Linked DNA regions of Saccharomyces cerevisiae S288C. The gene in region 1 interacts genetically with each later gene. Each region holds a gene or a part of one and is shown in the gene's direction. Other genes may lie near its edges.

What was found.
Region 2: mutations in SRP102 (region 1) and JSN1 together harm fitness more than expected from each alone (negative genetic interaction), as found in Saccharomyces cerevisiae (one large-scale study listed by BioGRID).
Region 3: mutations in SRP102 (region 1) and FCF1 together harm fitness less than expected from each alone (positive genetic interaction), as found in Saccharomyces cerevisiae (one large-scale study listed by BioGRID).

Annotation. Positions count from the first base shown.
Region 1 is NC_001143.9:159,915-162,990, forward strand, and holds SRP102 (Signal recognition particle receptor subunit beta), read left to right. Parts: upstream 1-1,686; coding exon 1,687-2,421; downstream 2,422-3,076. Other genes in the region: tRNA methyltransferase RSM22, read right to left, coding at 1-1,428. UniProt on the Saccharomyces cerevisiae protein: Component of the signal recognition particle (SRP) complex receptor (SR). Ensures, in conjunction with the SRP complex, the correct targeting of the nascent secretory proteins to the endoplasmic reticulum membrane system.
Region 2 is NC_001142.9:596,574-600,336, reverse strand, and holds the start of JSN1 (Jsn1p), read left to right. Parts: upstream 1-2,000; coding exon 2,001-3,763. Other genes in the region: BUD4 (Bud4p), read right to left, coding at 1-1,602.
Region 3 is NC_001136.10:1,149,288-1,152,433, reverse strand, and holds FCF1 (rRNA-processing protein FCF1), read left to right. Parts: upstream 1-1,913; coding exon 1,914-2,483; downstream 2,484-3,146. Other genes in the region: YDR341C (arginine--tRNA ligase), read left to right, coding at 1-631; YDR338C (uncharacterized protein), read left to right, coding at 2,968-3,146. UniProt on the Saccharomyces cerevisiae protein: Essential protein involved in pre-rRNA processing and 40S ribosomal subunit assembly. Required for the early cleavage steps of 35S rRNA at the A(0), A(1), and A(2) sites.

The DNA of each region.
Region 1 (3,076 bases):
ATTTTCATTCCGTAATTTCTTAATTTCTTTCAACGTATTTTCGTCCTTATGTGATCTCTCGAATATTAAATAGGAGTAGTTTAAAATTTCATAGTCACGACCATTTCTTCTTCCCGTTCCTTTTAGCCTCGACGCATTTCCTTGAGAACCATCCCATGAAGTAGCGAGAAGTTTACCCTTCTTTAACTCTATACTGAATTTGGGACGCTTGATGCTTTTTTGAAAATTGCAGAACTTTAAGTCTTTACCCTCTTTATGAGTATAAAAGTTAGGATTTCCAACCTGTAAGGGACATTTCCTTTGATGTGGACAAGGTGCAATCACCTTCAGAAAATAATTACTGGAAATGTTTCCTAATTCAGCATCTTTTTTGCCTCTGACTGTTACTCCCCTAGACCAAGGTCTTGGTATTTTTCCGAATTCATCTGGAAAGTTTTCAGGTCTAAGCGTAATTTGCCTTGCCCTGGCTATAATCTCGAATCCCATTGGGTTGCCTCGTTCAATAATAACAATGTGGCCTCCAGGCGCTAGAATATTTAAGTAGTGCTCAATATTTTCATCCACCTGAATTGGAAATTGATTCCCGTCATGAAGAAGTTGATGCGTTAATATTATGAGGTCATATTCCTTAGATGCGGGAATAGAAGACCGCAAGTTAGTCATAATGTTTATCTTTTTTGTCATCACTTCTCCAATATGTTCATCCTCTTGAAAGTTTTTGTTCCGTCTATCTGTTTCCTGCTCTTTCTCTGTAGACACATTTTCTTCTACAGTATCGACCACCTCGTTAAGTTGTCTGCTCAAAATGATTTTGGCTCTTTCTTGCATCTCCGCATTCCCTAAAATAACGGCATCTTTTAGATCAGGTCTATAATTTGGGCCTAAAATATCATTCAAGGCAACTATACCAGTCGCTGGGCCATATCCAACATCAAGGATTCTTTGAGGTTTAAAATTATCAGGACCTACCCTTTTTTGTAATTCTTTCAGACTTTGGAAAATAGAACCATAATTTTGTAAAAAAATGGACGCTATATGTGCATCCACTTCCATTTTGGTTCTACAGGGACGATGTAATGAATTTGGTTCCTGAATCTCTTTGTAATAATTTGTAGCAACCCTTCTAAGATTATTGGGAATATGTACAGCCATAATATTATTGTTGATTGCTTTGCTTACATCAGGATTCAACTCTAATTGGTCCCGGTACGACTGGCCCTGAAGTGTTTTGGAAAGTAATCTGAGCTCTTTAGAATTAGTTGCTTGAGTGGTGCTAGCGGTTTCATCTCTGTACGACGGAAGAACATTGATTCCTCTTTTATTTGAGTCTATAAAATCCGCCAAATCTAACTTTGGTAAGTTTAAACTTGTGAACTTTGAGCTGAACCGGACATTTTGTGGTAGGATACTGAAGCATCTTTTCATCATTTTACCTAAACTAGACGGGCCACCTTATGTCCTAAAGTGTCAGAGGTTTTGCTGCAATACTGTTCTTAATTTTTCACCATTCACTTTTTTCATCTAGTGGCGGAAAAAAATAAGAGATATGGAAAACAAATATGAACCATCATTAAACTTGAAAAAGATGAGAAGAAAAGAAATAGTTAGGCTTTAAGTGTCTGTATTGATCAATTAATTATTACTTTACCACTGCTGTTTATTAGCATAATAGCACACGGGATCAGAATGCTTAGTAATACACTTATTATTGCCTGTTTATTGGTGATAGGGACAACCATAGCGCTAATAGCAGTGCAAAAGGCATCCTCCAAGACAGGGATCAAGCAAAAAAGTTATCAACCATCTATTATCATTGCAGGTCCTCAAAATTCTGGAAAAACGAGCTTGCTTACGCTGCTAACCACAGATTCAGTAAGACCAACTGTTGTTTCTCAAGAACCGTTATCAGCAGCGGATTACGATGGTTCCGGCGTCACGTTAGTGGACTTCCCAGGCCATGTCAAGTTGCGTTATAAACTCTCAGATTATTTGAAAACAAGAGCCAAATTTGTTAAAGGGTTGATATTTATGGTAGACTCAACAGTTGATCCTAAGAAATTAACAACAACAGCTGAGTTCTTGGTAGACATATTATCAATTACTGAATCTAGTTGCGAAAATGGTATTGATATCTTAATTGCATGCAATAAAAGCGAATTGTTCACTGCAAGACCACCATCAAAGATCAAGGATGCTTTAGAAAGCGAAATTCAAAAGGTTATTGAAAGAAGGAAAAAATCGTTGAACGAGGTTGAAAGAAAAATTAACGAAGAAGATTATGCAGAGAATACACTAGACGTTTTACAGTCTACCGACGGGTTCAAATTTGCAAATTTGGAAGCATCTGTAGTTGCTTTTGAGGGCAGTATTAATAAAAGAAAAATTTCCCAATGGCGCGAATGGATAGATGAAAAACTGTAATATAATTATAATTTATAACTAGATGAACGATAGATAGTTTAAAAACAAGCATTTAACATAGCTCTAGATTCCGTACGCAGAGAAAGACATAGTTGCATCATCGACACATGCAATATCAAAAGTAACTCTTTTTGACTGCTGGTGTAAAAAACACTCACGATGGGGGTCGAACCCATAATCTTCTGATTAGAAGTCAGACGCGTTGCCATTACGCCACGCGAGCTAATATTTGTTTGATGTTCCAGCAGTTATATGATCTAATTATGCGGGAAAATAATTGAAGATAAGTAGTTTGATGTATTTTTATTATAGTATTATATTTTCTGATTTGGTTATAGCAAGCAGCGTTTTTTTTCTTCTTTACCATAATCATTGTACCAGGAAATTTTGTTCATAATTATTGTGTTGATTGTCAATGGTCAAAGGTACAACTAATGAAGATTAAATATGGTGAATAGGAGGCCTGCTAGCCACCGTACATTTAATATGTCCGCGTGTTGGAATAAAAATCAACTATCGTCATCAACTAGTGGTTATACTACCAGTATATTATCTTATATGGTGTCAAATGTGGACATGATGACATAAGGTATGAGAAACTGTCATCGAAGTTAGAGAAAGCTGAAATACAAGGATCAATAATGTAATAGGATAA
Region 2 (3,763 bases), on another chromosome or scaffold:
TTCTTCTGCAGAAGTTTTTGCCAATGGTTCATTCACTTCAGCGGCCTCTCCATGGTCGACACCAATTTCACTGCCATTTATTATATTTTCTTCTGGACTCTTTGTTCTTTGTCCATACAGGCTCTCCTCGTGTTGAACGATTCGGTATTCCTCTCCATCCTTAAAGTTCCTTTGGAATTCACTTTCATTATTTAGTTCAGTGAATGTTTCTTCTGAAGAATCCTTTTGAGGAATTATTGCCGGTTGTTCATTTGCATGTTCACTTTCTTGATGAAGCTTTTTGGTATCCCAGTCTTCTTGTCTCGTTACTTTATAGTCAGCAATGTAGCTTTCCTCTGACTTTGTAGATGTTGAAATATTTGCGTCTGTTTCTTTGTCTTCATTCCATACGTCATCCGATGTAGCATTAAGATCTTTGAATTTGGGTTCACTGTGCGCTAGAGAATCTTCCTGTGAAAATTCTTGAACATTAGCATTGGTCCCTTTATTAGAGTATACTATGGACCTAGTGTCATTTTCACCCAAAAAGGTAACGGGCTCATTGCTGCAACCTTCGTCAAGAACTTTTTTCTCATCAAAAGCATCATCGATATGTTCCATATTCTGTTGAAGGTCCCGCACAACATCGTTTTCAATAAGCGCATCCGCATCAGTAGTGACTGGATTATTTTGGCTGGAATCAGCACCCGGCAGATTCGTTGAAATGTTTAAATCCTCCACAGAGGCTGTTGGCGATCTTGAATCAGAATGTGAATTGTTACTAGTGTTCAACAATTTACTTGGAAGGTTACATTTCTCATCGACTGGCGTCATTTCGGGCGTTGATGACATACAAAATGGTAATTCTGGGATTGTTTTCGTATCTAGTTCTCGTCCTGTGCTATCAACTGAGGTGTCAGATACTAGACTTTTGTCTGATTCGTTGGGATTCAATGTGAAATCAAGATTGAGCTTATTAATCGACACTGCGTTAGTTATTGGAATCCTTGATGGAGAGTGTAATATTTGAGGTGACTGTGTTAAACATGTGTATGCATCTTCTTCCTCTTCATCTTCGTCATCGTAATTCGTTTCAATTTCAATAGAACTTCTGTGGATGGGCGATTCTGGATACGACAGCAGTGGTTGAGTCGATTTCAAAGTAAATTTAAGGGGAGAGCTGCTAAGTTTTACGGGCTTTTCCTCATCACGGGCTAGTTTATCTATATCTTGTGCCATATTTTTCAGATTATTAAGCACTTTGGGAGAATTGGCATGACCAAGTGCCCCGTTGGCAACAGAGTTTTTAATCCGTTCCTGATGCACAGCGGCTGGAGACTCTTCAAGTTCCGAATTTACACGTAAGAGACCCAAATTAAGGCTTTCATTTGAGATGGTAGACATCTTAGAAGGTGATCGACCTCTACTATTTTCTGTAGCATTCGACCTAGTATTGTGTTTGACCAACATTTCCATGGTATCATCGCCTATTTCCTGCAGCGGAAGCTTCCAGTTGTGTGGTGTATCTTCGGAACCATTTTGCGTGATATTAGACTTTGTTTGTTCCATTTCATTGTCTATCTCCTTCAGTAGAGAATCTACGGTACTCTCTGCGTCGTGCATGCTTCTGTACTTTTGTTTTTATATAATTTAATGAACTAAAAAATTCTTCTTGCACAGACTGAATCAAAGAAATATACACCAAACCAACGAAGTTTAGTGAATGGAGATGTTCCCTTCTAAGTGTTTCCTTTGCATAAATAAACATTATTGTTTTCTCGAGGAATATTTCATTGTTGTTTACCTTTTTCCAAATCGGGTCATCTATTCGTTCCTCGCGACAATGTCTCTTTTTCATTTGGACAAATTACCCGCCGACAATTATTGGGACAAAGGGGGGCGTTTCTCGTAGGATGACCAATGGCGCATAGAGATGAATAGTTAAAACAATAAGAGGCACTTCGAGAGATTTGTGTGTATGTGTGAGAAAGAGCGTGAACGTCTATTTATTCCTTCTTAAGATGGATAAAAGTAAGCAGATGAACATCAACAACTTGTCCAACATCCCCGAGGTGATTGACCCTGGCATCACTATCCCAATATACGAGGAAGAATACGAGAACAATGGAGAGAGTAATAGCCAACTGCAGCAACAACCCCAAAAGCTTGGATCATATAGGTCGCGAGCAGGAAAATTTTCTAATACATTGAGTAACCTTTTGCCCTCCATCAGTGCCAAGTTACACCATTCGAAGAAAAATAGTCACGGAAAGAACGGTGCTGAGTTTTCCTCTAGCAACAACAGTTCCCAATCTACGGTGGCGTCCAAGACACCAAGGGCCAGCCCTTCCAGGAGTAAGATGATGGAAAGTTCTATAGACGGTGTAACTATGGATAGACCTGGCAGTTTAACCCCTCCTCAAGACATGGAAAAATTGGTGCATTTTCCTGACTCGAGTAATAACTTCTTAATTCCTGCCCCCCGAGGATCTAGCGACTCGTTTAACTTGCCACATCAGATCTCGAGGACGAGAAACAACACAATGTCTTCTCAGATAACTTCCATTTCATCAATCGCCCCCAAGCCTCGTACTTCGAGCGGAATATGGTCTTCAAATGCTAGTGCGAACGATCCCATGCAACAGCACCTTTTGCAACAATTGCAACCTACGACAAGCAATAATACAACTAATTCAAACACGCTCAACGATTATTCGACAAAAACTGCATATTTTGACAACATGGTATCTACTAGTGGAAGCCAAATGGCAGATAATAAGATGAATACGAATAACTTGGCTATCCCAAACTCTGTTTGGTCAAATACCAGACAGAGATCTCAATCCAACGCGTCTAGCATATATACCGACGCTCCACTGTACGAACAGCCCGCTCGTGCCAGTATTTCATCGCACTATACTATTCCAACACAGGAATCTCCATTGATTGCTGATGAAATAGATCCGCAATCCATCAATTGGGTAACAATGGACCCCACTGTACCATCAATAAACCAAATATCGAACCTTTTACCCACAAATACCATTTCTATTTCCAACGTTTTTCCCCTACAGCACCAGCAGCCACAATTAAATAACGCGATAAACTTAACAAGTACTTCCTTGGCAACCCTATGCTCCAAATATGGTGAAGTCATATCTGCTAGGACTTTAAGGAATTTAAACATGGCTTTAGTTGAATTTTCTTCCGTGGAAAGTGCCGTAAAAGCCTTAGATAGTTTACAGGGCAAGGAGGTATCTATGATTGGAGCACCAAGTAAAATTTCATTTGCCAAAATCTTACCTATGCATCAACAACCCCCACAATTTCTTCTCAATTCTCAAGGCTTGCCATTGGGTTTAGAAAACAACAATTTGCAACCACAGCCTTTATTACAGGAGCAGTTATTCAATGGAGCTGTGACTTTCCAACAACAAGGAAATGTTTCTATACCTGTATTTAACCAGCAATCACAACAATCGCAGCACCAAAACCATAGTTCGGGTTCTGCTGGTTTTAGCAATGTTCTCCATGGTTATAATAATAACAATAGTATGCACGGAAACAACAATAACTCAGCAAATGAAAAAGAACAATGTCCTTTCCCTCTACCACCACCTAACGTTAACGAAAAGGAAGATTTGTTAAGAGAGATCATCGAACTTTTTGAAGCAAATTCCGATGAATACCAAATCAATTCGTTGATAAAAAAATCGCTGAATCACAAAGGCACTTCCGATACGCAAAACTTTGGACCTTTACCAGAACCATTGTCTGGCAGGGA
Region 3 (3,146 bases), on another chromosome or scaffold:
GCATGTCAACTTTGGTATGGTCCAAGGTATGTCAACAAGAAAAGGTACTGTTGTCTTCTTAGATAATATCTTGGAGGAAACTAAGGAAAAAATGCACGAAGTTATGAAAAAGAATGAGAACAAATACGCGCAAATTGAGCATCCAGAAGAAGTTGCCGATTTAGTTGGTATCTCTGCCGTCATGATTCAAGATATGCAAGGTAAGCGTATCAACAACTACGAGTTTAAATGGGAAAGAATGCTTTCATTCGAAGGTGACACTGGTCCATACCTTCAATATGCTCACTCAAGGTTAAGATCAGTTGAAAGAAATGCTTCTGGTATCACCCAAGAAAAATGGATAAATGCCGATTTTTCGTTATTAAAAGAACCTGCCGCAAAACTGTTGATTAGACTGCTAGGCCAATACCCCGATGTTTTGAGAAATGCAATCAAAACCCACGAGCCAACAACCGTGGTCACATATTTATTCAAATTGACTCACCAGGTTTCTTCTTGTTATGACGTCTTATGGGTTGCTGGTCAAACTGAAGAATTAGCAACTGCCCGTCTGGCTCTATATGGTGCTGCAAGACAAGTTTTATACAACGGTATGCGCTTGTTAGGTTTAACTCCCGTAGAAAGAATGTAATAAACTTTTCCACCAAGCCATTCTTCAAATGTGTTTTATTTCTATAATTGGATATAAATTGTATAAACGGATTATTTCAATCCTTGCCATCTTTTTGTTAGGGGCCATTGTCCACATTTCATTAAATAGATCGAAAAAAAATAAGAAAACAAGATTCGTAAAGTAATCACGATTTTAACGTAGAAAAATACGGGTCAAACAGAACTTGAAAAACATCAACAAAAAGTAAGAAAAAAGTCTTCGTTGTTTCTATTGGAAAAAGAATTAACTGTCATCTATCAACCAAGTTATCAAATTTAATGGAATCTGAAATATAAAGATTGATAATGTGATAGGGTAATGAAAACCATAAAAAACAAAAGGAGAAATAATCGTAATATTATAATGTAGAAATACCGATTTTCTTTACAATGGAATCCCAACAATTATCAAATTGAGAATTGGGTGAATTTTGAGATAATTGTTGGGATTCCATTGTCGATAAAGGCTATAATATTAGGTATACAGAATATACTAGAAATTCTCCTCGAGGATATAGGAATCCCAAAATGGAATCTATATTTCTATACACTAATATTACGATTATTCCTCATTCCGTTTTATATGTTTCATTATCCTATTACATTATCAATCCTTGCACTTCAGCTTCCCCTAACTTCGATGACAGCTTCTCATAACTTATGTCATAATCTAACACCGTATATGATAGTATATTGATACTATAACTATTAGTTGACAGACGATAGTGAATTTTTATTCCAACACTTCTTTCCATGATTTTATTCCTAATCAAGAAAATATAGATTTTCACCATAGTAATGATATAGAAAACTAGAAACACTTTCACTTCAAAGTGTTTCAGTCCCAGTGGCCGAGTGGTTAAGGCGATGCCTGCTATTTCCTCAGAAAAGCAATTAGGCATTGGGTTTTACCTGCGCAGGTTCGAATCCTGTCTGTGACGCACTTTATTTTTTCTACATCCACTATTTTAAAGCTTGATTTTTTTGATTGTGAGCCACCTTCATGTACCTATCGTTTGTGGACTATTGCCATTAATTGCTTATTCACTTGCAATGATTTTATAAACATTACTCAAACTATCGGTTCCTACTGGAAGATATAACAAAAAAATTTGGCATATTTCTAAAGGTATCATTATGAACGGCTAAAATTTTTCAGCTTGCTACTATTCTTGAATGATGCCTCTTTAAACATTACTGTGCATTAACACACAATAACAGTGACTTGTAACGGAAATATCGATATACTACAACAGTTAATTATGGGTAAAGCTAAGAAAACAAGAAAGTTTGGCCTCGTAAAAAGAACTTTGAACACCAAGAAAGACCAAAGATTGAAGAAAAACCAGGAAAATATCAAAACTAAAGAAGACCCTGAGCTAACCAGGAATATACCACAAGTATCAAGTGCACTTTTCTTTCAATACAATCAAGCTATAAAGCCACCTTATCAAGTACTGATAGATACCAATTTTATAAATTTTTCTATCCAGAAAAAAGTCGATATTGTTAGAGGAATGATGGACTGTCTACTCGCAAAATGTAACCCGTTAATCACAGATTGTGTGATGGCAGAGTTAGAAAAATTGGGCCCCAAGTACCGTATCGCCTTGAAACTGGCTCGAGATCCTAGAATAAAGAGACTAAGCTGTTCGCACAAGGGTACGTACGCGGATGACTGTTTAGTGCATCGAGTCTTACAACATAAGTGTTACATCGTAGCTACAAACGATGCCGGCCTGAAACAAAGAATTAGAAAAATCCCTGGAATTCCTTTGATGAGCGTAGGCGGTCACGCATACGTCATTGAAAAATTGCCAGATGTCTTTTAAACTACTGTGTATTCACTCTTTAAGTATGTAGTGCAATGTTTTTGGTTTATATGTATATTAATTTCATAACAACAAGTTCATGGTTTGCCCGTATTGGAGCATGTTTTCAGATGAACTGAAATGCCTAAGGATATTTCTATTTCTTTTCAAGACCATTTACTCAATAATTGCTCTAAAGAAACGCAAATGCAAGGAGAAAAAAGAGGGCGTTTGAGACGCGACCAGTAACAGTTATAAACGGTAACCATTTGGCATCTTTTCATAATATCACTGTCAGCTATTATCCTCTTCCATGGGTTCCACGCGATGCAGAATATTTCTTAAGGAAGTTTTCATCTTCGCGCAAGCAAGGGACAAAACTTGATTGTATTTTTACATAAGCAAGCATATTTGATGCTGAAGAAGTATTATTATAAAAACTAAACATTGGAAAATACACATATAGCATACCTTAATATATACGGATAAAAAAAAGGTTGAAAAAATGGCTGGAATTTTGTCAAAGACTCTTTCAGAAGTGCATCCTTCCCTCCGAACAAATGGTATGGGTATCGGTAACACTCACAGGAGGATATCGCTAGGCTTCCTACCTCCCAACAAGAAGAATCCTCTGGTACGAAAATTTCGTGCAAGAACGAGAAATATTGATCAGAGGAGTTTCAG